Alligator mississippiensis: one gene and its partners. The protein of the gene in region 3 purifies or fractionates together with the protein of the main gene of each other region. This does not show direct contact. Links are inferred from orthologs where the notes say so. Each region holds a gene or a part of one and is shown on either strand. Other genes may lie near its edges.

Region 1 (7,006 bases), on a different chromosome or scaffold from region 3:
CTTAGGGGAGGGAAGCAGGGGGGCACAGACTACAGCAAATGAGACAGGAAAAAGTACTAATCTGAAAGCCCTTACAATCATGGCTTGAAAAAGCTAACTTCAACCCAATCTTCATGTGCACACACTTTTATAAGACCACAGATAATCACAATGGCAGTGGTTCTCAATCTCGTCAGACCCAAGACCCCCCTCCATAACTTTTGGGAATTAAGTAGCACTCCAGTTCAAAAAATAATTTATTTGAGTGCTTACCTCCCTGCAGAGGGTCCAAGCAGTGGGGCTAGGGGAGTGGCTAGGTAGGGAAGAACCTGAGCCTGCACTAATCTCCTCATACCTGCTTATCTCCTCGCATCTCAGGGTACCCTTCGAAGGGTTTTGCATCAGCCTGGGGTGCTATAGCACCCTGGCTGAGAATCATAAAACCATAGATAAGTAGGGCTGGAAGGGACCTCCAGAGATCATCTACTCCAGTGGTTCTCAACCTTTTTTGTACCAGGATCCATTTGTAAACACTGATGGCCAGTCCTGACCCAGTGCCCCTCACTCTTGACCTGCAGTGTGCAGGGCAGGGGGTGGGTATGTGGGACAGAGGGGGCCCCAAGCATGCCCTTGCAGGCTGGAACCCTGACAGCCTGCAAGGAAAAAGCTACAGCTTCTCATATTTTTTTCTTTAAAGGAGAATCCATTTTTACAGGTTGTTCACAACCCTCCCTTTCATATATTCTAGCGACCCACAGATTGAGAAACGGTGATTTAGCCCAACCCCTGGAATCAATGCACTACAATTTTATCCAAACAAACCTATGAGTTCTGAACCTTCAGTTCTGCCCATACTTCTCAATATTTTACCAGTGTTTTAGATTCAGTGCTGTAGGGTCTACTGAACCGCATGTTCTTCCCATCTTCCAGAATGGAATTCAACACCTCACTCTGCTTACTGGTAACAGTAAAACCATTCTAAGTCATGTTCTTTAGGACCTGTACACAAGCTAACCCAGTTTAGCCAACTTATGTGACTGGTACCCAAAGAATTTAATTAAAACTAGATTTTAAAAGTTATAGCCTGTCTCTAGCAACAGCTGTAAGTCCTGGTTTTGCTGTGCAAATCTTAACTCTATACAATGCAATGAACCCATTTTAAACATAGCTTCTGTAATCAGTTCTCTTTTGAGAGTACATTGGTTTTTGTGACAGAAAAAAACACAACTAAACTCTCCTACTTGGAGAAGCAATACTACCACCAGCTTTTATTATTCTCTACAGAATGAAGAAGATAGCAATGTTTAAACTTACTGGAAGTAATCTGCATTGCAAATTTTTGAATTTGCTGTTTCCACAGTCACAGCAGAAGTTTCTGGAAAAAAAAAAATATAGCAGTTCAGATATTTTTTTAAATGTCTCAAAATGATTTTATTTTTATATTTTTAAGGGCTTCCCACTGCCAGCTGAGAACTAGAACATACTCTCATAAGCTAATTCACAATATCATCTTTTAGAACTGATCAAAGTCCAGCAGCATTACTCCCTCATGCTAACAGCCTGTCAGATTTCAGTATCATTGTCAAGTAGAATCACTATTCAATTGGGATACTCTTCCGGCCCATGTAATTATTGCTGCCGAGAATACTCTTAGGCTTATGGGTAAGCATATGTGTTTGAAAGACAGCGACTGTGAGTTGACTTGAACCTGGAGGGGATCTGGGACAAAAGCACGATAAACCAATGTAACCTAAATCACTTAACTGGTTTATCTTAAACCAGTTCTGGCCATTTTGAATGTGGTTTATGTGCACTGAACTTCTGCTGTTACAGATTTAAACCGGTTTGTGTGTCATTTCTGTCCCTAGACTTACAGGTATACGCCATCTTCAATATTGCATTTTACTGCTTCGTGATGTAAATGGAAGTACCTCAGAAATGGCCCCAATAGTGCTTTACCTTTTTGTATACAATTCAAACAGCTTGTGTGTTCCATGACACTCATAACTGCAGGCTAAGCATATCCCTGCCGGTTCTTCTCCTGGCGGAGTACAAGTACTGCAAGCATATAAAGCTTGTCTCTTTACAGCACCCTACAAAGAAACAACAGATATAAAAAGAGAGAGAGGCACAGAAATAATCTGAAAAAGGTCATTTGCTGTTTGACTGAAGTAGTAAATGCAGTTTGTCATAAGCAAAAAGCAAGTTAATGCTGATGTGCAAGCTAGCACCAGAGGTTCAGAGAGAATCAGTATTTATTTGGCAGTATCTTTTACTAAATTAACCGTAAAGTGGGGAAAGATGTTAGACAAGCTTTTGTGCACAAAGTGCCTGTCTTCAATTCTGGGCAAACAGCAGGTACGTACAGCCTGAAGTAAACACCAGGTAAAACAAGAATCTTTTTCATTTACACAATGGAGTTAAACAACAGCACTTAATAAGTAGAGAGGTAATTAGCATCTGACAAAGTAGACTGCTGCCAATGAAGGCTCATGCCTCTTTAAAAGAGTTGGTCTCTACAGTGCCACCCTGCCCTGCTGATGAGACTTAAAGGAAGGGAAGACAGCAGTAAGCCTGTGGCATTAAAGGAAGCCATCAAAAGCAGCTACAAACCAAGAAAAAGGCAGCTGAAATAAACCTATAAATATATAGATTTGTTTATTTAGATTCACCATTTATTTTCACCACAATAATACCAGGCAAAAGGGGGGAGACTAACGGGGAGCAAATAAATCATAAGCTGTAAAACTACTGTCTGCGTTCAGTCCATAGTTTTAGTGTCCCATAAAACCCTGTGCCTGAAAGCTTACTGAATCTCAATAAAAAATATTGCAAAACAAACCTTGTTTCTCTCATTCTCTGAAGAGAATCCCAGCTCAAACGCTAGAACCTTGCTACAAAACAGAATGACAGCATTCACAGTGCAAATGCACCCCGTTTAACTGCACAGTGTTGGGACTGATAAAAGGGTCCGTATTTACCCCCATCTCAATGTCGATAATTACTCATTAATTACAGGAGCAAGTGAGCTAAACTTTTTGCACCTCAAAAAGGTTTCTTATCTTGTTTCTCAAAACACCTTATAAACAAACAGCCTTAAAATTGGCAGGGCCTAGTAGGCTTGAGCTTGCCTTAGAAGCCTCGAAATGGACAGCTCCCAGCCAGCTTCGATCATGCAGTTAAACCCTGTGCAACTAACTTACAAAGCAGAGGATTCCCATGCACTTAAGCAGCTAATGCTTTTAACGAATACGTGAATAGCTGATGATCGTTTCAATGTAAGTAACAGGTAATAAACTGGGACTGACCCTGCGCTTCACAATTAAGCTAATTATGCACTTACGTGATATGCACACCCATACAGGATGCTTGAAAACTTTATGAATAATATCTCATAGTCCCAAGGGCTGACCTCCAAGGCACTCTTCAAAAACACTGCTTACTAAAGCCTCCCTGGCAGGTCGACCCTTTTTTGCAGGCAGGCCTCAAAATAGCTCAGCCACTTCCTCAAGTGCCACTTTAATCCTCTTCCCCTGCCCAATTTTTCTGATCCCAGCCCCAGCCCCAACCCCTGCATGGCCTTCTGCTCCCTGCCCTGCCTGCCACGGCGCTGCCCGTCCCCTCCCTGATCTGTCACGGGGGCTGCTAGGGCCTGTGCTGCAGGCTGGCCACCCCAATCTACCAGCTGCACCTCTTCCCTTGCCTCGGCCTAGCTTCACACTGCCCCAGCTCACAACCTCTCTCTCTGCTCTTTAAAGATGTGAGGTGGGGCTGTGGCATGTCAAGTTCTGCCACAAGCTACACGACACCCACTGACCAGCCTGGCGGTCACCTCTCCCTCTTCAGGGAGGAGGAAAAGCAGGGGAAGACCAGGGCCGTGGGCCCCACACGCCCCTGTCCCTGCCTCCTGCACCCCGGTTCTCTCCACCTGGCCACCACACCCAGGGGATGGCTCCCCAGCCGTCAGCCCTCCACAGGGACCCCAGGGGCCAACAATCCTGCCTGTGAGCCCTGGCCGGGCGCGTGTGAGCAGGGGGGGGGGGGGCAGAGCTCAACATCGGGGCACTGGGGGGGGACTCCCCTCCAACCCTCTCCCTACCCCGCCCCCCAGCACAGGCCCCTTCCCCGGGCACAGGCCCCGCCCCGTTACTATCCACCTGCCCCCGCTCCGCCCCCTCACCTGCGAGTAGCTGCAGCGCTCGTGGTCGCTCCCGCCCAGCACCGCGCGCGCCTCCTTCTCCAGCTCCTCGTTCTCCGCCAGCACCTCGGCCAGGGACACCACGGGCTCGTCCGGGGCACCCGCGCAGCCGCTGCCACCGCCGGAATCCGCGCCCCCCGCCGCTGCCGCCGCCTCCTCCATCGTTGGACCCGAGCGCGCAAGGCGGGAAACGCCGAACCACCGCCAGGGGGCGCCGCGGCGGAAACGGAACCGCGCACCCGTCACGTGACGCAGCCGGTGGCGGGGACTCGGAATGTGACCCAGGCGGGACGGGAGGGGAGGACACTCTGGGCAACCAGTCACAGAAGGAGAGGGGGCGGGGCTGGCCAATGGGACGCCAGGGGGAGGGGCGCGGCATGTGACGCGAGGGGGTAGGCCAGCCTCCGCCACGTGACCGAGGAGGGGTGGTGCGCGGGGCTTGGCTGCCGGAGGACGAGCAGTTTGACGGCCGTTGGACCTAGGCGTGGGCCTGCCAGTGATGACGCCTTCCGGGGGAGCGCAGTTCGGGCGCTGATTGGCTACGGGCGGTGCCGCTCCAGGCCGGTCCGCGAGGGGGAGGGGGTATGGAGCTGCGCGCGGAGCTGACGGGGCGCGACGGACTGAGGCAGCCGCTGCGGGTGCGCTGCGAGCCCGAGCCCGGCGTCGGGGCGGGCGGGGAGCTCCGCGCGCTACGCCGGGGCCTGGCCCAGCTGCAGGAGCAAGTCGCGGCGCTGCTCGGGCCCCTGGTGCAGCAGGAGAGCGGCGCCGGCCCCCGCGGGGGCGCCCAGGGTGAGCGGGGGGGGCGCGGCTCGCGCGTTCGGGGCACGGGGGCTGAGGAACAGCGCAGTGTCTGCTCGCGGCCCTGGCGCTCGGTGCGTGCGGGAGCGCCTGGTTCACCGCGTCCTAAATGTAACGTGTGCCGGAACCCGGAGCGGAGCGGGTCCCTGCTGGGCAGGTGGTGGAAGGGCCAGAGCCCAGGCAGCTTGTCCAGGGAGCGTAGGGGGGCTCCCACCACTGTACCCACACCAGCTGAGGCCCCAGGTGGCACATGCTTCCTGCATCTGCGCGCAGCGGAGGCAGCTGTCGTTGTGGGCTGGGCTTTGAGGGAGTGGGCAGGGGAAGGCCCTGAACAGCCAGGGCACAGGATGGAGCAGTAAGTGGCTTGTCTGGGGGTGGGGGGACACAGCCTAGGAGGGAATGGGAGGCATATGCAGGGGACAAGCAGGAGCTGGGGGGACAAGCAGAGGCCCGGAGGGCACATGCCCTGGCCCAGCCAGGGCCCTACTTCCCCCAACCCCTGCTCCTGTCTGTGCCCTGGTCCCTCCCTCGCTGCGGGGGGCCTTGATCTGCCCCTTCCCCCACAGACTTACCTGATGAAGAGCCACAGCCCCAAATCATTTTTTCTCTCTCTGCCTCAATCTGTTCCTCCCCTTCCTTCCCCATAGATTGACCTGTGGGGGGAGAGGGTGGCACATGGTAGATCTTGAGTTGTTTTTTAGTTCAAAAAGTGATCTCCTACTTAAAAAGGTTGGAAACCACTGTTAGAGGATGGTTTCAGGTTGGATGGAAGGAAGAACTTGTTTACGGTAAGGGTCACCAGAATCTGGAGTAGACTTCCCAAGAAGGTGGTGCAGTCCCCAACCTTGGAAGTCTTCAAGAGGAGATGGGACAGACACCTTGCTGGGATCATTTGATCTCAGCAGTACTCCTGCCCAGAATAGGGGGTTGGACTTGGTAATCTTTTGAGGTCCCTTGCAGCCCTTTATTTCTATGAGAAAAACCCAGAGGTTGCTAATAGGACTCCATGGTGCTAGAAACCTGACCTGCTGTGGTCTTTTTGAGTACTTTGTAATAGGATAATTTGCTCTAGTGTTTTTCTGTAGTCTAGTGCAAACTAAGACCTGCCAGTTTCCGAGGGGTGCCTTGGGTCTAAAAAGATTTGAGAACAGCTGATTTAGAGACTCTCCGTCTTCAGAGCCCTCTGGTTCCCTCACCTCAAAACATGGATTTGCAAACACTTCTTCTGTTACTAACCTATGTATTGTAACCTTTTACAAGGTGATGTTGGGGAAGAGGAAGAGGATGAAGATGAGGACCAGGAAGAAAACAATGTTGACAAAACACATTCAGATGAGCCACCCTTAAAACGGACAAAAATTCAGCACTCCTGACTGTTGCCTTAAAGACTCCTTAGCATTTTAGAAAAAGACCCAACAGTTCTATCAAATGTATGTTTAACTGGACAGTCTTACTTCCGGGGAAAAAATGGAATATTTTTGGAAGCCAGGTATCCGCATTTCTGTTCTAAAATACAACCAAGCTGAAGAGAAATACCATTTTGTTTTTCTAGTATTTAATTTTAATAAATAATCTGACAAAAGAAATAAGGGTGGCTTGTTTTGGGTTTTTTAAATATTTTTAGGTAGATGAAAATTATTATTTTAATGTTGGAGAGAAGAGAACATGGAACGTAAATGTCAAGAGGAGCTTCTGGCAAAGACATTGTACACAAACAGTTGTATGTTTTGGATACTCCCTGAGCATAAAACAGTCTAGAGCTGTTAAAGGAACTACTCCCAAGCTCTGTATTTATTTGTATCACTTTTAAAATTGACAAACTTGGAAGAAAAAAAAGACAGTTTATGTACTTGAAATGGTAGAAACAATAAGCTAACAATTACCTGTGAAGAAGTTGTTAGAGATGTATATAAAATAATTTGAGGATTCTAGACTGGCTTAAATACATAAGCAAGGAAATAATTTAAAAAAAATTGCTTTAAAAAAGCCTACAAGACAGGAAGTCACTGGTGTTCAGGTATGAGGTATGTT
Region 2 (7,469 bases), on a different chromosome or scaffold from region 3:
GGCCCGGAAGGCAATATCCCACTGCTGGCGGTACTCCAGGCGCACCAGGCCCCGGCCTGCATTGGGCACGTAAGCGGTAACAAGGAAGTGCGAGGGGAACTCGGCTGTGATCACCCGCCCCTCCTTGTCATGCTCTTCCTCGCCTGTTGGGGACAAGTGGGAGCAGAGGTCAGAAAGGGCAAAAGGAACGGTAGGAGTGGGATGCAAAGGCACGAGAGTAAGGAAGGCAGGAGTCTCTGAGGGCACATGCAGAAGTGGTTCAGGGTCAGAAGGGACAAAGGACATAGGATGGTAAAGGTCAGAAGTTGGGACACAGGTCAATCACAAAGGTGTCTGGGTAGAGTTGAGCTCAAATGGTCAGGGTGGGTCCTTGAATCCGAGGCAGAAAGTAAAAGGGAAAGATGTAAGGCTTGGGGAAAGTGATCTGAGAGCCAATTAAGAGGGAAGTAAAGGGACAGTCATGGGGTAAAGGGAGGAGGGACAAAAGTCAAGGCTGTTCAGGCTAAAGTCGAGAGGAGAAGGCTCGGTGTACCAGAAATCACATGGAAAGGTCACCAGCAGGTAGGGTTCGATGGGCAAACGTTTGGAGGCTGGGGGCAGAGAAGTTAAGGGACCGCAGACATGGGTCCCACGCTCAGAGGTTGAAGAAAAGGAATGCAGATACGAGGGTCAAAGTCGGAGATTGCAAGCAGCTGAAAGGTCAAGGACAGCAATCACCAGCTTAAAGAGGTGCACAAGGAGGCCTGGCCACAGGAGCAGGCAGCATGGTTTTTGCCCGAGATGAGAAAAGGATGCCTAGAAAAGGCAATTAATAAATAAATAAATAAATAAAAAGGGAATCAACCAGAGGGTGAGGGAGAAGAGGTGATGGCGCATGGCAAGTGGGCTCCAAGGGGAGCACTGGGGTGCTAGAGGATGTCAAGGGTCAGAGATGGAAGCGGGGGGAGGTCCTCACCAATGCCATAGGTGACATTAAGCGGCTCAGTCTTGGAGAGCAGGGCCACCCCGCTATAGCCTTCCTTGTCATCAGAGCAGGCCCAGTACTTGTGTGGGTATTCGGGCATGTCCCGTATCTCAGGGGGCAGCAGCTTCTCTGCACATTTTGTCTCCTGTAGGCACAGCACATCCGGGCCCTCTTCGCGCACCCACTGTGGGGAAGGGTTGGGTTGGTCAGGGTGGCTGGGCAGGGCTGGGCTGGGCTGGCAGCCAGGACTCCTGGCTTCCAGCCCCAGCCCAGGTCTCTAAATCTAAAACACAGAAACCTATTTCCTAGACTCTCCCCGTCTCTGCTACTGCGGCCCCCTTCCCAAGCGTCCTCCTGGACTGTCCTATAAACCTCAATCCCGTTATAATCCACCGGACTCCGTGCCCCTTCCCAAACTAGGCCCTACCCCTCTTGTGGCCTCGCTGTGTGTCATCCTCCTGCTGTAGTGCTAGGTGTTCTTTTAATTGCTCTGTAGCTAAGGCTGCGTCGCTGAAACCAGCCCCATGGGAGCAGAAAGCCTCATCTCCTTTGCTCTCAAGACAGGTTTCTTATATTGTTGAGGCTGTGTTGAGAGCGAGCTTCTAACCAGCATAAGACCTGACCTGACTGTACCTGTATAATAGTGCATGATAGCAGCACGGCTGGGAATATCCTCCCCCTCCACCTCCTCGTTAGCTCTAAAGTACATTGGAAGGGTTTTTTGGGGGGGAAAAAACAAAATGATATTTTTTGGACAGCAACTGCAGCAGGAAGATTGAGATCCAAGATTCAGAATTGATCCCTCCCACCCCTGCCGGCCGTTCAAGAACGTCTAGAGGCCAAATCAATTTGAGGGGAAAAAAGGGGCAACTTGCCCCCCCCACACCCAGGACATGACTGCTCGTTCATTAAACCTGGTGGCAAAAATCAAGAAAGGGGGTGGCCGAGAGAGAGCCCCAAACGTCTAAAAGTCAACGTTTACCAGATTTGGGAGGGAGGGAATATATTTGAACTGTAAATTCAAAACCAACTTAATAAACTGAGAGGCTGATTTATTCCTAGTTTTTAACTGCACCCCCAACCATCCTATTCCCCAAAACGTTGTGGGCCAAAAATAAAAGTTAATAAGCCAAGTTCTCCTTCTGCACGTCTCCAAAACACACACGAGTTACTGTTTCTACCCTGAGAGGGGAAATGGAGGAGCCAAGGGGAGGCAGTTTGAAGGCAGCACAAACAGGAAAGAGACCTGCAGTGTCCCGTGACCCCAACCAGGGCTCTGGCTACTAGGCTACACCATAAAAGGAAATTGTTCTTGGCTGCTGCAGCTCCGAGCGCTCTCAAGCAACGCCACTGCCGTCTGTGGGCCTCGCTCCATGCTCGTATTAAAACCGAACAGAAACCAGCTATATAGCGTTATGTATTTCCAAGCACTGACTGGATACCAGCAACCATAGTTGGAAGACGGAGATCCTAGATTCAAATCCTCCCACCTCTGCCGGCAGTTTGAGAACGGCTAGAGGTCCAATCAATTTAAAGGGGAGAAAAGGGGCGACCTGCCCCATCTCTCGATAGATGCATTTTGAACGGCAATTACTCTGCACCTTCAGCGGGGCCAAATGCACGGCTCGGTTCACCGGTTACTTGTGCGCTAAGTGCTTTGCAGCTGGGGCCGGTTGCACTTTGAATGTATGTACTGCGCGACTCTCCCGTCTCGGCTCTTACCTCCAGCCCCTTCTTCTTGAACCACGCGCGGAGCCCGTCCACGTTCCAGGAGGTGACCTTCAGCGTGTACCTCTTCCCGCCGGGGGAGGCGAGCTTGTCCGGGGGGTCCTGGTAGAGGATCGGCCCCTCGACGGCCTTCTCCTTGGCGCCTTTGGCTCCTTCTTTCTTATTCTTCTTCGCCTCGGGCTCTGCGGGGAGAGAGGGCGGGGGGCTCCAGCGCTCGCACGGCACAGCACGGGACGGGGAGCCACGGGGGGACGGGGAGGACTCTTACCTGGGACCTCGGGCTCCTCCCCGCTGTCCCCTCCTCCCTGCTTCTTCCCACGCTTGGGCATCTCGGGCCACCCGCAGCCACGCCGCGGCGCCAGGAGCCGACGGAGCTTGCTGAGAGCCTGCACTGGGGAGAGGAGGGGGCGGCGCGGTGAGTGCTGGAGGACGGGGGACCATGCACCCGGGCGCCCAGGCTTGTCCGGGGGCAGCAGGGGGGAAGTGGCCACCCCGTCTCCTGCTAGCGGCTCCCCGCTTCCTCCCCCACCCCACATGGGCTGGACGGGCAGCGGGGCCCGGGCCAGCCCCCCATTGCAATGCCAAAGCCCTCTGCTCCCCAGCCAACCACCGCAGAGCACCCGCTCCCCGGCCAATCACCACACAGCACATGCAGAACACCTGCTCCCTGGCCAATCACCGTGCAGCACACACAGACCACCTGTTCCCCCGCCAATCACCACAGAGCACTGGCAGAGTACCCGCTCCCTGGCCAATCAACGCCCAGCACACACAGAACACCCGCTCCCCGGCCAATCACTGCACAGCACACACAGAGCACCCGCTCCCCCGCCAATCACCACGGAGCACTAGCAGAGTACCCGCTCCCCCGCCAATCAACGCCCAGCACACACAGAACACCCGCTCCCCGGCCAATCACTGCACAGCACACACAGAGCACCCGCTCCCCGGCCAATCACCATGCAGCACGCAGAGCACCTGCTCCCTGGCCAATCACCGCGCAGCACTCACTGAGTACCCACTCCCCGGCCAATCACTGCCCAGCACACACAGACCACCTGCTCCCCCACCAATCACTATGGAGCACTAGCAGAGTACCCGCTCCCCCGCCAATCAACGCCCAGCACACACAGAACACCTGCTCCCCAGCCAATCACTGCACAGCACACACAGAGCACCCGCTCCCCGGCCAATCACCGCGCGGCACACGCAGAGCACCCCCTTCCCCGGCCAATCACCGCGCAGCGAGCGCCAACATCCATTCCCTGGCCAATTGCCGCCCCGCGCGCGGAGCAGCCGGGCCCCGGCCCATCCCCCCCAGCACCCCGTGCCCGGAGGAGCCGGGACGCCGAGCACGTGCCCCGCGGCCCGCTCAACCCCCGCGCCCGGCTCCCGGCACAAGCGGCCCCCCAGCCAATCGCAGCGCGCGGCACTGCGCTCCCCGCCCCCCCAGCCAATCGCGTGCCCGCTTCCCCCCGGCGCCCCGGCTCCCACCGGCGCTGCAGCTCGGCCCGCGCGGCCGCACAAAGACCGGAGCCTGCACGTGGGCGGTCACGTGGCCGGCGGCGGGGGGGCGGGGCCTTGACGTCAGGGGCGCGACGTGACGTCACGTGAGGTGGGCCATGCCGGTGGTGCTGGGCCTCGAGGGCAGCGCCAACAAGGTGGGCGTCGGCCTGGTGCGCGACGGGCGGGTGCTTAGCAACCCGCGCCGCACCTACGTCACGCCCCCGGGGCAAGGTGAGCGCCCCTCCCCCACCCCCCCCCTCCATGCCCCCCACCCCCATGTGACACGCTGTGGCCCCCATGGCAGGGTTCCTGCCCGGCCACACCGCGCGCCACCACCGCGCCTGCCTGCTGGAGCTGCTGGCCGAGGCGCTGCGCGAGGCCGGCCTGCGCCCCTGCGACGTGGACTGCGTGGCCTTCACCAAAGGTAGGGCGGGGCGGCCCCCGGGTTGGGCTGTGCCAAGGCGAGCGGACACTGATGCGTCGCCCCGTCCCCGCCGCAGGGCCGGGCATGGGCGCGCCGCTGGCGGTGGTGGCGGCGGTGGCGCGGACGGTGGCGCAGCTGTGGGACAAGCCCCTGCTGGGCGTCAACCACTGCGTGGGCCACATCGAGATGGGGCGGATGGTGACGGGCGCCCACGACCCCACCGTGCTCTACGTCAGCGGCGGCAACACGCAGGTACGGTACACCCCCTCCCCCTCCTCCCCGGCACAACAGCACCCGTGCGCCGTCCTCACCGACGTCTCCGCCCGCCCCCAGGTCATCGCGTACTCGCAGCGCCGCTACCGCATCTTCGGGGAGACCATCGACATCGCCGTGGGCAACTGCCTGGACCGCTTCGCCCGCGTGCTCAAGGCGAGAAGGGCCCCTAAACCAGTTAGAAAAGTCATATTTATCCGCCCCCTGCGGCCCTCGACGGCTTGCCGAACCTCGATTCAGATCCAGGGCCGTGTATTTGACGCCCGTGTGTTAATGTAAATGCCCCGCTTCCTGCTCCTGTGAGTTTTTGGGGGATACTAACAAAGGCCGAGGGCGAAGAGGATAGTGCAGAGGTTACTTATGGACGGGTGGGAAGAAGCAAGGAGGGCCATTGACTTAACTGCAGTCCCATCGGCAAACTTATCCCTTCTTTGCTGTCTGTTTTAGATCTCCAATGACCCCAGTCCTGGCTACAACATCGAGCAGATGGCAAAAAAGTGAGTGGCAAGGCACGAGGCCTGGTGGATTGGACCAGGTGGGGGGCAAGGCCCAGCAGCTGGGAGCCTCCCCGCAGCTGCCGAGAGACGCTGGCGGAGGGGGTTACGGTGGGGTAGAGCAGGGGAGGCCGGGAGCTGAGATTCCCCCAGCGTTTCATAGATTTCATAGACATTAGGGCTGGAAGGGACCTCGGAAGATCATCAGGAGGGCAGTAAGACGGTCTCCTCTCTCCACAGAGGTCAGAAGCTGGTGGAGCTGCCCTACACGGTGAAGGGGATGGATGTGTCGTTCTCAGGGATCCTATCCCACATAGAGGTGAAGAACCCATGAGTCCTGGCTCCAAACCACTAGATCCCACTGCCCGTCCAGATCTGGGGGATAGGATGCAGCAGGCCTCACTCCCTCTCTCTGCCCCTGCAGGAAGTGTCTCATAAGATGCTGGCATCAGGAGAGTGCACCCCTGAGGACCTCTGCTTCTCCCTCCAGGTGAGAAGCTGCCCTGCCCAAATGAGGGCTGTGGGTCAGGGGAAAGAGAGCCCAGAGCCGGGCTAGCAGTGACTGTGGGTCAGGAGCAAAGGGCACTGTCATGTCCTGTCGATCCCAGCAGGAATGGGAGGCAGTGCCGGGGCTGGGAAGCGGAGGAGGGAGCCTGGGCCGGCGGGGAGCTGCTGGAGCGTAGTGAGGGGCAGTGTTGAAGATGCGTACATCGTATCCCTCACCCCAGGAGACGGTGTTTGCGATGCTGGTGGAGATCACGGAGCGGGCCATGGCGCACTGCGGCTCCCAGGAGGTGCTCATTGTGGGCGGCGTTGGCTGTAGGTACCTGTGGGGGTGAGGATGCATCGCACAGCTGGAGATCTACCTCCCTCCCCCAGTCCTGCTTGCTCCTACGGCAGTCAAGCCCCCCAGTTTGCTGTCTTCCCAAGAATCCCTTCCAGACTGCACCCTCTCGATCCCCAGCACAGAGCACCCTGGGCGCGGTGATGCCAAATTCCCTTCTGCGCACATAACCTGCAGCTAAGCACCTGCCCCATGAACAGATCTCCGCATGAACCCCAGAATTGCTTTGTCCCCAGCAACAGTTTTCAGTTGCTGTCGTACCCCTCTCCGCCTGCCATTTTACAGGGGTCTCTTAGCTACCCAGGATGCATTACTGGATCTGTCATGTACCATGTCATCCACATATGGGGGTGAGGGGACCTGGAAATAGGCTATGATTGGGAGGGCACTTGCCACCGGTGGCACCAGGCTGCCCATTTGAATGGAGCTGAAGTCACTCTGACTTGTGTCACTTGTGGCCAGTGATTTTACACAGGAACCTTGACCCGGCTGGACTCTAACCCTGCCCTCTCTCCCCACCAGGTAACCTGCGGCTGCAGGAGATGATGGGGATCATGTGTGAAGAGAGAGGGGCCAAGCTGTTTGCAACAGATGAGAGGTAAAGACCAGCAGTGAGCAGAGGCAGGCCCTAGCATGTGCCACACCACAGTGAGCAAGCTCTGTGGTTCAGGGTTCCCATCAGGCTGACACACAGCTTTTTGGCAAGAGTGAAGTCTGCCCTGTTCAGCTGGAAACGAGGAAGGCCCTCAAAGTTATGAGGGCTTTGGGGTCCTTACCTGTCCCCCACATCTAGAGCCAGTGATGAAACCTGGGAATCTAGGCCTTCAGATTGCACCACTCCTCCCTTCCTGTGTAACTGTAGGCTGTACTCCCTTCCCATAGCTGGGGTTGAGCCCAGGAGCGTTGCCTTCTGATCCTTCTCCAGCCCTTTCGACCCCACTCTCTGCTGCCTCTAGGAGCTCTCGCCTCTCATCTCACCCAGGTTCTGTATTGATAACGGGGCCATGATTGCTCAGGCTGGCTGGGAGATGTTTCGTTCAGGACAGGTGACCACGCTGGAGGATTCCTGGATTACACAAAGGTATGGGATGAGGGTGGCATGCAAGATACTTCCAGCAAAGACAGGGAAATATCAGTGCTGTTTATTGCATGGTCCCTTGGTGAGACATCATCAGGGCTCTGGTGTGTAGTTGTGGTCACCCACATACAAAGCTAATAACTGTGATTTAGAGTACG
Region 3 (6,792 bases):
TGTCAGGAGGCACCGGGGGTCCTCTCCCTAGGGGTGGATCTAGCCAGGGCCCGCCTCAATTGCTGGCTCAATTGCCCCCTGCCCGCACAGAGGCAGCCAGCGCGGGTGGAGGGGCTGAGTCCCCTTGAGCTCTCTGCCTCCTCCCTATGGCAGACCAGGGGGATGACACCTAACTCTCATAGGGAACTGTATAGACGTTCCCTAAGGAGCTCTAATTTAGAGCACTTTCATTTACTACCTGATTTAATGAGGGTTAATTTTTCACACATAGCCTTTTTAAAAGTGCTCTGCAGCTGTGCATATGTGATATGCCACAGCTGTAGAGCACGTTCAGGTCACATGAAAAATGCGCCAGGTCACATGAAAAATGTCACTTCTGTCTGATCCCCTATGTGGTCAGGTGTGAGAATCCCAGCCTCAGCCTGCTCCTAAATAAATCCTGGAAAAAGAGTTGTCTGTATAAATAGGAAGTGAGGGTGTCAATAGGAAGGAAGGGTGCTCAGTACTTCATGAGATCAGACTGTTTCTATTAGCTTGGCCTATAATAGGCCTGTTAGCATATCATATGTAGGGGTCTACCCGACTGGAGGAGGCCAGTTGATTTCGTGGGGAAATCGCAGAGCCGGCCACCATTTTCGTGGGCAGATTGTGATGGCTCCCCCCCTTCTGATTGGCTATGGGGGTCCCAGTGGCCCTGCCCCCCACTGCTGATTGTTGAAAAGGGGCAGGACCACATGACGGGCAGTCCACTCAGCCAATCAGGGGTGAGGGCAGAGGAAGCAGCCATCTTGGGCTGTCCTTTGTGCAGGTAGCCCTCCCTTCCCTCTTCTCCCATGGTGGACTGTGCAGCTGGGCCACAGCACTGTGAGGACTGCTGGCTCTGTCTGAGGAACCAGCATTTGATTTTCCCTGCCCTCCCCCCTGATTTTACAGGCATTGCCTACTTATGTGAACAATGCCGGATTTCACGTTTTCGGTAGGTCCGTAATCATAGGCCTATTAGCTTGCCCTATGATTTTAACTTGATTACAGAACTTGTAAAAGGGGGGTTCAAATAGATGTTTGTCACCCGTGGGAACAAACACATTCTTTGAAATTTTGAAGTCAAATTGTTTTTCATTCCAGTAAAAATATTAAGAGTAAAAAATAAGAGCTGTATCAAAGATTTATTGTATTATACATGAAAATGATAAGTGAAATAAATAAACAAATAAAATGGGGGGAATAAATAAGTTTTAAAAGAAATAAACATAAGATTTTATATAAATAATTAAATAAATATGCTGGGGAAAATAAAGCTATAAATGTTTTCTCCTAAGTATTTTGAAAACTCTGGAAGATGATTTTGGTCAGCAGAATACAAAATATCTTAGTTTACCAAATGAAGCAAATGAAAAGATTCTTTTGCTTTTGTGTATGTTTGTTCATGTATGTGCTTGTATGTATCCATGCATTTGAATGGAGATGCATTTGTGTATAAACTCTGCCTGCACTTGTATGAAAACTTTGAGTTCATTTTTAATGATATTTGCAAATTTGAAACATGTAGATACAAGTGCATTTTTTTTCTTAAGTGCTAGAGCATCCTGTGTAGGCTGCCTAGCTGAGACCAACAGGCTTGAGGCCAAAATAAGAGGTGGAAGAACCACAGGGTAGAGTTCTTTTATCATTTAAGCCTTCAGAGTGTTATTAAAAAGCTGTTACTGAAACAATGTAAATATTTGCTAAGCAAAGTCCCACCACATGATGCACAAGTAAGCTGTATGGAATGTATTAATAAAATAAAAAAAGATTTGGAAGAGAAACAAATGTTATGGATGGGAAAACAAGGACAAAATGGACTTGAGGCAACTCCAAGGGCAACAATCTAATTAGAACTGAATCTCTTGTATAGACTGTGTCTCATGAAGACCATAACACACAACCCTGCTAGAGTAATGGGTTTCAGTGTGCGTGGTGAAAATTCAGCTCTAGGTATTGGGACAGTGGATGCTATAACAAATTAAGTGGTTGTCTCCACTCTTCCAATTCAAACATCATCTGCAAAAGATAAATGAGTCATGTCATACCTCTGAACCCTCTCTTCATCTTCCACTGCCACACGATGCATAGAGCTTGTGTACATAGGGATACTAGTGTGTAGTGAGGTAGGGTGTGAATTTACAGTGCACTTCACTAACTCCCTGCGTGGACACTATCTCTGCTGAGGAGCAGGGCATATTAGTGTGGCCACTGTGCTGCACTAATGACATTATGCTAGTCTTGGTTCTAGAGCTGGCACATGCAGAGCTAGTGTGGGGTGTCTCTTGTGCCATATAGTCATATTATAAAAGGAGACAGCACACCACCCTCCGCTGTTTTTGAGTAAAAATGGCTGTGGCTGCTGTGCTTTGGGCTGGCAGCATGTCAGGTGTGCTTCAATAGGGATTAGGCTCTTCGGAGGAGGTTCAGAGACACCTAGTGTGAGGATCTCAGACAGAGGAATGATTTAGGATGCTGAGGCATGTTATAGGTGTTGAGGTGCTCAGCTCAGACAAGACAGCAACACTTTTTGGCCATTTGCAATAGCAGAACTTTAGGACTTTACTAAGTAAATGAGAGTTTGGACAAGCTGAGATTAGACAAGGTATTCCAAAACAAACATTTGTGTAACTTCGGCTGTGCTTATTAATCCTGATACCATCTTTCCCAGTAGGAAGGAGGGTCATATCTAACTTAGACCCTAATGCTGAAGTCGACTGATCACAGTCAGACTGATCTGATGGCAGAGATTTTCATTGACTTCAGCGTTGCTCCACGTGGTCTAAAGGCCTGTATACTACCAGGGAAGCTTTGTGTGGTACATTTTGTGCCCCGGATACTCAGGGCACCCCATGCCAGTATCGCATACTACTGCTAACAGGCCAGATTGTCATCAATTCAAGAACGATTTCTACCATGGGTCTTGAGTCCAATTCTTGAGCCAGCTGTGTCTGCCGTGGAGGGGGGGGGGCAAGGGGGGGGAGTCGGGGGTCAGGAAATGACTAGTGCAGGCCTGGCTGTTAAGCTGCTGTGTTACCAGTTACCAATCAATCAGGGACCAGCTCAATACACAGTTGCTAGCTAATGTAAGCAGTTTATTAGCAACAATTAACACCTACAAAACCACAGACAGACCAAGGAGAGGAAATAATCAATACAGACAATCAACTGCCCCAAGACAGAGACAGCCATTCCCACAAGCACCCATGTCATGAGTGTTACCTGTCAGCAGCTAGGGGTGCAGGGCCCCAGAGCCCCAAACCCCTGCACCGATCTCCTCGACACCTGGCAGGCTTTGCAGCTGCAACAGGGGCCACCATCCCTGCAGCTTTCACCCCGCTGCGCCTTAACACACGCAGTGTCACTCATGTCACGAGTTTTGCTTGTCCGCAGCTTGAGGTGCAGCTTCCCCCAAACCCCTGCACCAATCTTCTTGAAACTTGGCAGGCTTTGTGGCATCAGCAGGGGCCACCACCCCTGCAGTTTTCACCCCACTGTGGTGTAACACATAGACGTGACATGAGTTTTGCTTTCAAGAATTTGGGGTACAGTTCCTCCCAAACTCTTGCACCGATCTTCTTGAAACTGGGCAGACTTCAAGCTCTCAGCAGAGGCTACCATCCCTTCGAGTTTCATCCAAATCAGACAAAAAACAACAACGTTATAGATATTTCATTGATTCATTATACCCTATGGCCCTTCGGAGCCGCTTCGGCTGGATCAAAGCAGAAACCCGGTCCGGAGCTCTGTATCAGATCGCTGGTATCCGAAGTGGCCGGATCCGAAGCCGGATTGAATAGCTGCCGACTCGCACAGGCTTAATGCCCAAGCCCGGGGCTCCAGCATTTCTCGGGGGGGGGGGCTCAGTCAAGGCCCTGGGACTGCGCTGGGAGACGTGGGCACAGCTGCAACTTTGGCAGCCGGGTTTTGGCAAACAAACATTTGAGAGCTGAGCCGTGGTGCAGTCTAGTGAGCACCTTGGCCACTGGTCCATGCTCTGCATTGGCCACAGCCAGAGGAAAATGCAGTGGCTGGCAGAGGAGGCCGACCTGACACTTCTCCCTGGGGCAAGCGGCGGGAGCCACCGGCCATCCCTTATTAGCCATGTGTGACCCAGCCAGCACAGGGGGGGGGGCTTCCAAAGAAAAATGGTTTGGAAGAGAAGCTAGGGGAAAATGGGCTTGAGGCACCAATCTAGTGGAAGGCAACAATCTAATGATTTACGTGGAGTGAACTGAATCTCTTGTACAGGCTGCGTCTCGCGATGAGGAACATAACACGCACCCTGGTAGCGTCATGACGGGTGTCCGTGCCTGCGGTGCCAATTCAGCTGCAGGTGCCGGGACAGAGGATGCTATAACACATTAACCGGTTTTCATAGATTCCTAGACTGTAAGGCCGGGAGGGACCTAGGGAAATCATCGCGTCCAGCCCCCCGCACGGAGCAGGAAAGGTGTCTCCGCTGCTCCCGTGCAAACATCACCTGCCACAGCCGAACGAGTCGAGCCCGAGCAGGGCGGAGCTGCGCCCCGCCGCGCCGACACTGGGGGCGCACGAGCTCCTCCCGGCCCCCCACCTCACGCTCGGCTCTTTTCGGCAGCCGAAGAGTCCCGAGCGCGTCACGTGGTGCGGAAGCCCCGCCCCGCCCGTGCCCGGGGTGCGGAGCGCGCAGGCGCAGTAGGGCGGCTGCCATGGCGGAGTTGAGGGTGCCGCTGCCGGGCTCGCGGCTGGTGCAGCAGGGCGCCGAGGCGCGGCTCTACCGCGGCTGCTTCCTGGGCCGCGCCGTCGTGGCCAAGCTCCGCTTCCCCAAGCGCTACCGGCACCCGGCGCTGGAGGAGCGGCTCAGCCGGCGGCGCACGGCGCAGGAGGCGCGGTCTCTGCTGCGCTGCCGCCGCGCAGGTGGGGGGTCCCGTCTCCATCACCAGCCCGCGAGGCTCCTGTCGGGCCGCGGGACCCGCTTCCACCTGGTGCCCGGCTCCCTGCCCCCTCCCCGCGGGCCTGAGGGGCCTCCCGCCGCGCAGGACGGGCCCAGCGCCCGGGGAGGGGAGGGGAAGGGAAAGGAAGGGGTGATCCTGCAAGGATGCCCGACAAAACTCCTCTTTGTAGTCGGGGCGTGCTCAGATCACACCCCTTAACCTGGTCCTCGGGCTCTGACGCGGTCAATATGAGCCCTTTTCCATCTTCGTTGCGTGCGACTGGGCAGGGTGGAAGTTGCTCGGGAATTTCTGTGCCCTAAAAGTTAGCACCTCATCAATCCTTTTTATTTATTTATTTATTTTAAATAGGCATTTCTGCACCAGTGGTATACTTCGTGGATTATGTCTCCAACTGTATCTATCTGGAAGATATTGTAGGATCGATGACGGTTCGGGATTATATCATTTCTGTACAGCAGCGTGAAAAGGATGCTAGCGGCCTCTTTACCTTAGCAGAGAAGATAGGCGAGGTTTTGGCTCGGATGCACGATGAGGATCTTATACATGGGGATCTTACGACGTCCAACGTACTCTTGCGGCCGCCAGCAGAGAAGCTTGACCTCGTGCTGATAGACTTTGGACTGAGTTTTATATCTGGCCTACCTGAGGATAAAGGGGTTGATTTGTATGTCCTGGAGAAAGCCTTTCTTAGTACTCATCCAAACACAGAGGCTCTGTTTGAAGCTCTGTTGAAGAAATACGCAGCTATGTCAAAAAAATCGAGCCCAGTGATCAAAAAATTGGATGAAGTACGACTAAGGGGAAGAAAGAGATCCATGGTTGGATAGAAGCAAGCAGACTTTGTGGAAGGGTGGGGAAATGACTTCTCATGTTCTGCAAAGGTCTCCAGTGGCTTGTATTCACTGTTTTGGTAACTTTCAGTCCAATAAACCAGTTTAATACAATATGACTCGTTTTGTATAGCTACCTAATATGTGGTCAAAGTAACTAAGTCAAAAACTGGTGCTGTGAATACACAGATAAACGGGGGAAAAGGGATGAAATGTTTCCCTTTTTCAAAGAAAAGAACTAAAGCACGTAGCATTTTCTCGCTGCTTTACATAGAATAAATACAACACTCAATGCTAGTATTATCAGGCTTGAAGACTTTGGCTTTTCATTTTCAAATCAATAGTCTTTCCTTCAGCAAATAGTCTGTTTAAACCAGTAATAAAATGGTGCCAGGGTACTTTGTTAAAGGTATTCCCAGTTAAGCAAAAAGTATTTTGTGACTTTCCTTTCAGATAGTGGTCAAACAAGCAAGCAGTATCCTATCCTATGAATACTATTTACATTTTTGAGAACTAGGAATATATAAACAGTAATGGCCTGCCTGGATCAAAGCAGAGACTTTTTTTCTAAGTCTCTAATGACATCAACCTTCTCCATTTCTAATAGATCACTGCTGTAAGCCAGGAGTGTGGTAATTAAATCTTAGTACATAAAAAAGACATTTCCATCCCTTGTATAAAAAAAGAAAAATCCCCATTCCTCTGCCCTTCAATGTGCAGATGAGAAGCACTGTTCTAAAAAAGGCATGAGAAGTCAGATCATGACATATGAATGCTGTTCTTACATTGTACTCTGGCTTGTTACACGCAGTTCTCGGGTCTTTAGAGAAACTCTTCTACCAGCTTTCTCCTGCTACGATACCTGTAGTAGCAGTAGTGGAGGCTGTGGCTGACTTAGACAACCACATGTTCTTTTAAACTGCTCTGTCTTCTAGCTTAGGTTTCTCAACTGGTGGCAAAGGTCCTCTAGGTGGGACTTGGTTTGTGGCGGTGAAACTGGAAAT
Region 4 (7,573 bases), on a different chromosome or scaffold from region 3:
AAGGCTCATTATCTAGTTTTCCAAAATACTGTAGATAGGGATCTACTTAATTTGCGGTTTGGCAGGTTGTGTGGAAACCGCAAAGATCTGGGATTGTCCAAAATCAACAACAACAAAAATAATTTAAATGCTTGCTCCCCAGTGGGAGCCAGCAGTCCTCACTGCCGTGGAAGGGAAGGTGCCAGCTGGCAGGGCAACACAAAGGGCAGCAGGAGAGACAGCTGCTGCCCCCTCATCCCTCCTCCCCACACTGGGGACACTCTACCAATCAATCAACACTGAGGGCCAGGGCTGCTACAAAATGACCACAGAATTAGAACTTTGTCATGATCAACCACTGAAAATTAGTAAATACCAATGCAATTTAGGTAGACCCCTAACCATAGGTCTTCAACAGCTGTCTTGAAACCAAATGAAATTGGTGAACTGATTAGAGGAGTCCTCAATTACATAGTTAAATGAGTGCAGTTACATTACTAAGTACATTGGGGAGTTCCTATGAATTTGTGCACTTTAACCAATATTCAGATAGCCAATGTTTTATCATATAAACAGGGAAAAAAAAAAAAATGTGGACTGAGGTGTAGTATTCAATGCCTAATGTATTTCCTCCCCTTCCTCAGGTAACCAAGTACACCATTTATTTTTATGAGCTGGGAATCTTCTTTGACCCGTGATGGTCATTTACCTGGATCCAGTCTCTTCACAGGATTTAACCTGCAATTGGATTTTGATTTAAAAAACTAACTTAATATCAGTAATGAAAAGCAACTGCCAAAATAACAACCCTTTCTGTGTTCATTTTATTATGCAGTAGCAAGAACTAAATTAAAATGGCAACACACACACGGAGGATGGTATTCTTTCATAAAAAATAAGCATCATTAGAAAGAATCAGAAATAGTCACCATTAACTGAATCAAGTCATGTATTTATAGTCCATTCACTGAAGCTGTAAGCATATTTGGTGACATGAGTACAGAAAAAGAATCTGTGGCACATGCTTCCCCCCAGGTGAATAGTCTATCAGATAATTAACGAAATGCTCCATATATGCACAAAAAAAACCAGACAGACATGGTACCATTCTCCTCATTTTAAAAATGGTGGTTTGTAATTCTTCACAATTTTAGTACTCAGAATTTCAGATACTTCATGATTTATTTTTTTTCCCCTGAGGAATCTTTCCTCGCAAGCACTAAAGCAACTTGCATTACAAGCTTAAATGGCAAAAAGCAAAGTTTAACTTATAGCCAGAACAAGTTATTTACCTGGTTATTTTGATGGTGACGGAATATAGTTACGCTTCCAGTTGATGAAGCAGCTACAATTCTCTCTTGATCCAAAAACTAAGAAGAAATACTTAAGCTTACTACTATGAACATGTAACAACACAGAAATAGGTTTGGCATTACAGTAGTCTAGATTTCAGAGCATACACATAAATTAATGTTTGAAAAATGTATTTCCTCCCCTTCCTCAGAAAAATTATTTGACTTTCAATATTTTGGCATCCACTTGTTCTTTTTATAATCATTTTAATAACACTGAATATTTTACCTGCATATCCATAACATCACCATAGTGTCTGATATCACATAACAACTGTGGTTCTCCTTGATATTCCCCATTGGGACACACACTTTCAGCATCTCCAACAGACCAAATGGAAATCTTGTTTTCCTGTAGGAGAAAAAGCATCACTAGATTAGTGATGCTAGTTTATTGGAAAAAGGTTTGGACAAATTTGTCAATACATCAAAGCTTTCAACCTCTTTCAAGAGTCAAGTTTAAGAAAAGGAAAAATAAAGGACCAATATTAAGAAAAACTACCATCAGACATCACGAGCTAACACTCCAGGATGAGCTCTAATAGTCAATGACAAAGCTGAGGAACACCAGGAGCAAAGGGACTAAAGAGGGCTAAAAGACCTGCTGTGATCCAAATGCTTTTAACAGCTGACAATGACTGACAGTTCAGAACCAGTAGGACTTTGCTTCCTATGCATGCAAGACAGCAAAAAAAAACAAACCAAAACAAAAAGTCAGTTGGGTAAACCAGATCTCCTCTGCCAGAAACACATTCTGTAGGGAAAGCTGGTATAGAGACAAGAAGGATGATAAAGGGATCGCCAACTGAATGAAAGGCTGAAACTAGAAAATTGCTAATAGAGGCAGAGGCTGCAGCTAACAACTGTGGGATCACTCTAATGGGCTTTTTAAGTAACCAATCACAGAGCTGTAGAAAATGAGGGAAGGGACCTCAGGGGTCATCTAGTGCAACCCCCTGCTCAAAGCAGGACCACTCCCAACAAATTCATCCCAGCCCAGGCTTTGTCTAGCCATGTCTTAAAAACCTCTAATGATGAAGAGTCCACCACCTGTGGGTAACCTGTTCCAGTGCTTTACTATCCTCCTAGTGAGAAAATTCTTCCCAATATCTAAACACAATTTCCCTTGGTGCAACTTGAGACTGTTGATCATAGCTCTAATCTGCCACCACTGAGAATAGTCCAACTCCACTCTCTTTGGAACCACCCTTCAGGTAGTTGAAGGCTGCTATCAAATCCCCTCTTAGTCTTCTCTTTTTCAAACTAAATAAACTCAGTTCCCTCAACCTCTCCACAGAAGTCATGTCCGCCAGCCCCATAACCATTTTTGTTGCCCTCGTCTGAACTCTCTCCAATTTGTCCACACCATTTCTGTAGTAGGGCGCCCAAAACTAAACAGAATACTCCAGATGTGGCCTCACCAGTGCTGAATACAGGGGAAGAAATATTTCCCTCCATCTGCTAACAACACTCCTACTAATGCAGCCCAGTATGCTGTTAGCCTTCTTCCCAACAATGGCACACTGCTAGCTCATATCCAGCTTATTGTAACCCCTGGGTCCTTTTCTGCAGACATGCTGCCCAACTAGCCAGCCCCCAGCCTGCAGAGGTGCATGGATGTTTCTTAACAACAAACCTACTTAGTAAATTAACTAAGAGGCTGAACCTTTTCTACCCAGAAGAAAAAGCCATAACCATGAAGGTGCACGGACACCTTACAGGGCCGTACCCTCCCCACAATAGGAGGATTCGTTCACATACACCCCCCTCCCCAACAGGAGGGCACACAAACACACGGGAGCGAGCCGGGAGAAGCGCGGGGGCGACCAGGCACACCCACACGGCTGTAACAAGGCGAGGAGCTGCAGTGTCCCGAGGAAGACAGGAGCTCGGGGCTGCCCCCAGAGCAGGGCCAGGGTCACAGCCGTGTCCCCTCATTCCCAGGCGCCAGCCCGACCCCACCCCAGGACCGGCGGCCCGCGCCCCGCCCCCACACCTCGTTGTCCCAGGAGCCGGTGGCGAAGAGCTCTGGCGGCTGCAGCGCAGTAGCAGGCACGGGCCGCCATCGGACCTTGCTCAGCTTCTGCGACACGAATTTGGCGCACAAATCCTCCATGCCTGCACGCGCCCGCCACCCCACACCGCCCCGCCTCTTCCGCCGCTAAGCGCGCCCTCCCATTGGCCGGGAGCCGTCTCGGCAGACCGGAAGCGAGTAGGGACAAAATGTTGCCTCTGGAAAAGGCGAGAGGCTGCGGGAGGGGGCGGGGTCTTTGGCTGTTGCGTAGCCCCAGAGAAAGGCAAGGAGGGAGAGGGGAGGCGTGCGGAGGTTAGTCCGCACTGCCGGCAGCTGGAGCATTGGCGATAGGCGCGGAGAGGTGACAGTGAAATGCGGCGGAAAGAGGACGTGGGCGGATCGAGGCTCGGGGAAAGTGGGTGCAGATGACGCCGTGTGTGTTTTGCTCCCGTTACCCGTAAACGAGAAGCTGTCGCGGGCCGGGAGTTGTTACTCCGTTGAAGACTGAAGCCAAAGCAGATGTCACTTCACTGGTATGAGCTCCAAACAGCCTGCAAGGCTGTGAAATGGGAGCTTCGTCCCCAGGAGCCGCTACCTTACAGCGCCTTGCCCAGCACGGGGTCGCTGAACGTGGGGGCTGCTGAGCAGAGGGGCCTTAACACCCTGGAGGGAGGGAAGGGTTTACAGGGTGTCAGGTGCATTGCAATGAGCCATGAAGTCAACAGACCCCCCAGCACTGCCTGACTAAACATGCAGCTGCCACTGCCGTGCACTTGGTTTTAATCTCTGGGTAGAGTGGGAATCAGAATTGTGCCAGGGCACCCCCCAGCCCTGGATCCACCTCTGAAAGCACATATATATATATACCTTGGAGAGCAGGCAGGGCCCAATCTGAGATGATGGATAGTTATATACTCCTTTATTCCTTTATATTTTACAGAGCAACTTAAAGGCTTCTTTCCCACTTTTTCCCTCCTTCTCTGGTACTCATTTCTGTCTTGGAACAAGCATTTGAAGTCCACACTAATTTCCTGATGAGTTCCTTATTTTAGATTAAGTGCAACTGACTGACCTCATCTAAGATGGAGACCACAGACTCCAGTGTGGGCTCATTGGTGGTTATGATGTAAAAAACAATAAAAAAGCCAACTTGGAAAATTCTCCTAGAGTCATGGACTGGAAGAGACCTCAAGAGATATCCAGTCCAATCATTTGTCCTTATGCAGGATTTGCTATTCCCAGACCATCCAGCTTAGAGGTTTATGCAGCAATTTTGGCATCTTAGGCAGAAATGGTGCCCAGCACCTCGGGGAGGGGCGGGGGAGGATGCTGGGCTCCAGAGCGTGGGGCAATGTCGAGCACCCAGCAGCTGCAGAGTGCTGTGTGATGCTCCTGGCACCCTGCATTGGCACGTGGGGCTGTTGTCCTACCCCACCCTAGTTATGCCACTGATCCAGCCTCCTGAAAACCTCCACTGCATGAGATACCATAGCTTCCCTGAGCAGCTTTTTCCACCGGCCTACTGTTCTTACACTTAAAGTGTTTTTTTCCTTGGTTTTAGTTTAGAACTCCTTTGCTGCAATTGAAGTCCACTGCTGTGTGTCCTATACTTTGCAGCATGGAAGAACAGTTGCTCCCTCTTTTTTATGGCAGCCTTTTAGAATATTTGTAAACTATTATCAGGTTCCCCTCTGCTCCCCCTCTTGATCTTCTTCTTTCCAAACTAAACATACCTAGTTCTCTCAACCTTTTTTCAGCTTGCATGCCAACTGCTTTATCATCTTTGTCACTTGCTTCTGGATACTCTCATGTTTCTCCACATCCTTAAAACTGTGGAGCCATGCATACAATACAGTAGTTGAGACCTAACCAGCACTGCATAGAGTGGTAAGATCTCTTTTGCATGTCTTTTATACTCCTGGTAATAATATATACATGTACTAGATTCCTAGTAATGCAGCACAAAATTACATATGCTTTTTTGAAGATTGCATCTCATTGCCAAGTCATGGCAAGTCTCTGATCCACCAAAATCCCCAGATATGTCTCGGCAATGGCACTACCCAGCCAATGTCCCATTATGCATTTGTTTTTTTCTTCCATAGGTGTAGCACTTTGTTCATCCTTGTTGAATTTTATTCTGTTGCCTACTGCCCAGTTCTCCAAGCAATCAAAATCTAATTCTAATCCTGTCCTCCAAAGTGTTTGCATCTCTTCTCAGTTTTCTGTCATCTGCAAACTTGATCAGGAAACTCTTTTTCTTACTTTCAAATAATTGATAACAATATTAAACTACAGCAGATCCCTGTGGAACCCCACTTGAAACCTCCTGCCATTCTCACATTAATCCATTTATACTCTCAAGTTGCAGTCATTCAGCCAATTATACCCACCTAAATGTGGGCTAGATGGTCTACTTATGAAAATTTCATATACAACCATACCTAAAAGCCCTTCTAAAGTCTAAATATATTATGTCCATTACATTCCCTCCATCTGTCAAATTACCTTCCCTGCTGAGAAGGAAATCAGACTGATTTTGCTGTATTTGTTCTTAACAAATCTATGTTGGCTATTAATAACCACCCCTTCTTCCTTTAGGTACTTATAAAATAGACTGTTTTATAATTTAGTTTGGCAACTTTTCTGGGAGGGAGTATGTTGACCTGTATCTAGCCTTCTGGGACTTCACCTGTCAGTTATGATTTAGCAAATCTTTTTGTCAGAACTAGATTTTTGCAACTTGTTCCTTCAGCAAACTGGGATAAATTCTGTCAGGTCCAGATGACTTTAATTCAGGTTTGTCAAGAGATTTCAGATGTGCTCTTAACTTATGGTTATAGTCCTTCCCCTTCTTTGTCTATATTTTGTTAACTGTTTGGTCACAGTTTGTTTTTATTGTGAAAACTGAGGAAAAGCACTGAGCAACTCTGCCTTCTTTGCACCTTTCATTAATAGATTACATGCACAGTGGACCACAGTTCTTGGTCTTTTTTGTCTGTCTGAAATGACTAATTAGAGCATCCCTTCAGATTGCTGGGAATGATCTGTCTGAGGGAAAAATGATGATGGATCTAAACTGATATTCTCCTTATCCTTTAAACAAATATTACCAGGAAATAAAACCCATCCAGAATTAACAGCTGACTTGCTTTACCCAGGAACATGCACAAGAATGGTTACTCTGTTGGCACACAGGTGATTTGTGACTGTAGAACGTTTAAAACAACTAGTAAAAATATTGTACTTTGTTTGCTTCACTGAAGTGTACATCAATAAAACAGTCTTAGCTTTCCTTCCTTTTCAGTTCCAAAATGTATTAAAATAATAGTAAATCTATTGACTAAATGTATTATTTGTTTATGGCATTCAAATAACTGCAGAGGATTTAGTTGTGCCCCTGCCACTCTGGTGCTGATATCCCCAGCTTGGAAAATAGAATTCTATTGTTTTTTTCCCTTCACACTTCCTTTTTTAATACAACTCTGAAGTCATGAAAGCTGGCAGAATATGCCTGAAATGGCACAAATAACACTCTGCAAATTCACCTCTATTTTTATCCCCATCTCTCCAAGACCCTGATTTTGCAAAGACTTATCATTGTGCTCAGACTGCAATACAGTTAAGCATATGTGTAAGCCTTCGCAAGATCCCTCTTTAAATGCACTATAGCCAGTGACCTTTATAATAACTAAGCTTCTCTTCTGTACTCTTGTTCTGAAGTTATTACCTGTAATAATCTTCCTTATCTCTTTCCTCAGCCATCACACAGAAGGCTAACGTGGACAGTACAAAAATTCTGCATTATACCCTCACAAATCAGGTTATACAAAACCATTGAGACTAAGAGAGATGTAACGATTTGAGGAACTCTCTCTCACACATCTCAAGCGAATTCACTCTCCTTTTGACAAAATTTGCAGAAAGGAGCAGTTTTAAAATTAAGGAAAATCATGCTTCATTATTCAGAGGTCTCATTAAACAAGAGATGTCTTCACATAATCAGTGGACTGGACCAATAGGCTTTGAAGTAGGTCTCCTGTGATCCTAGTGCAGAGTTTAGAGCCAGCTGGCCAGTTCCCTTGATTACAGAAAATAAGCCAGTTTCCCCAAGGCTGGCCAGCTTAAAAGGAAGCAGCAGCAGATGTTAGCCTATACACTGACATCTAGGAACACATGTACAAATCAAACCTTAGAGGAGTTATCTGACTGTCAGAGGACAGAGATT

Evidence for each region.
Region 1: the proteins of TP53RK (region 3) and GON7 purify together in Homo sapiens (affinity purification with mass spectrometry; 5 studies listed by BioGRID and IntAct, counting the BioPlex papers as one, with this or other methods). This does not show direct contact. The link is inferred for Alligator mississippiensis from reciprocal best matches to the Homo sapiens genes TP53RK and GON7.
Region 2: the proteins of TP53RK (region 3) and OSGEP purify together in Homo sapiens (affinity purification with mass spectrometry; 5 studies listed by BioGRID and IntAct, counting the BioPlex papers as one, with this or other methods). This does not show direct contact. The link is inferred for Alligator mississippiensis from reciprocal best matches to the Homo sapiens genes TP53RK and OSGEP.
Region 4: the proteins of TP53RK (region 3) and NUP43 purify together in Homo sapiens (affinity purification with mass spectrometry; 3 studies listed by BioGRID and IntAct, counting the BioPlex papers as one, with this or other methods). This does not show direct contact. The link is inferred for Alligator mississippiensis from reciprocal best matches to the Homo sapiens genes TP53RK and NUP43.

What each region holds. Positions count from the first base shown.
Region 1 is NC_081825.1:276,407,832-276,414,837, reverse strand, and holds GON7 (EKC/KEOPS complex subunit GON7), read left to right. Parts: upstream 1-4,589; 5' UTR 4,590-4,761; coding exon 4,762-4,966; intron 4,967-6,235; coding exon 6,236-6,348; 3' UTR 6,349-6,371; downstream 6,372-7,006. Other genes in the region: putative E3 ubiquitin-protein ligase UBR7, read right to left, coding at 1,294-1,354, 1,939-2,072, 4,160-4,339. UniProt on the Homo sapiens protein: Component of the EKC/KEOPS complex that is required for the formation of a threonylcarbamoyl group on adenosine at position 37 (t(6)A37) in tRNAs that read codons beginning with adenine.
Region 2 is NC_081830.1:3,074,023-3,081,491, reverse strand, and holds the start of OSGEP (tRNA N6-adenosine threonylcarbamoyltransferase), read left to right. Parts: upstream 1-4,305; 5' UTR 4,306-4,314; coding exon 4,315-4,429; intron 4,430-4,502; coding exon 4,503-4,622; intron 4,623-4,698; coding exon 4,699-4,874; intron 4,875-4,955; coding exon 4,956-5,051; intron 5,052-5,342; coding exon 5,343-5,392; intron 5,393-5,629; coding exon 5,630-5,708; intron 5,709-5,813; coding exon 5,814-5,879; intron 5,880-6,117; coding exon 6,118-6,208; coding exon of another isoform or gene 6,209-6,224; intron 6,225-6,755; coding exon 6,756-6,831; exon of another isoform or gene 6,832-6,837; intron 6,838-7,189; exon of another isoform or gene 7,190-7,215; coding exon 7,216-7,314; intron 7,315-7,469. Other genes in the region: APEX1 (DNA-(apurinic or apyrimidinic site) endonuclease), read right to left, coding at 1-143, 956-1,148, 2,687-2,874, 2,961-3,021. UniProt on the Homo sapiens protein: Component of the EKC/KEOPS complex that is required for the formation of a threonylcarbamoyl group on adenosine at position 37 (t(6)A37) in tRNAs that read codons beginning with adenine.
Region 3 is NC_081832.1:15,802,094-15,808,885, forward strand, and holds TP53RK (EKC/KEOPS complex subunit TP53RK), read left to right. Parts: upstream 1-4,695; 5' UTR 4,696-4,712; coding exon 4,713-4,920; intron 4,921-5,306; coding exon 5,307-5,785; 3' UTR 5,786-5,902; downstream 5,903-6,792.
Region 4 is NC_081824.1:129,004,449-129,012,021, forward strand, and holds the start of NUP43 (nucleoporin Nup43), read right to left. Parts: upstream 3,489-7,573; 5' UTR 3,448-3,488; coding exon 3,328-3,447; intron 1,684-3,327; coding exon 1,561-1,683; intron 1,350-1,560; coding exon 1,272-1,349; intron 1-1,271. UniProt on the Homo sapiens protein: Component of the Nup107-160 subcomplex of the nuclear pore complex (NPC). The Nup107-160 subcomplex is required for the assembly of a functional NPC.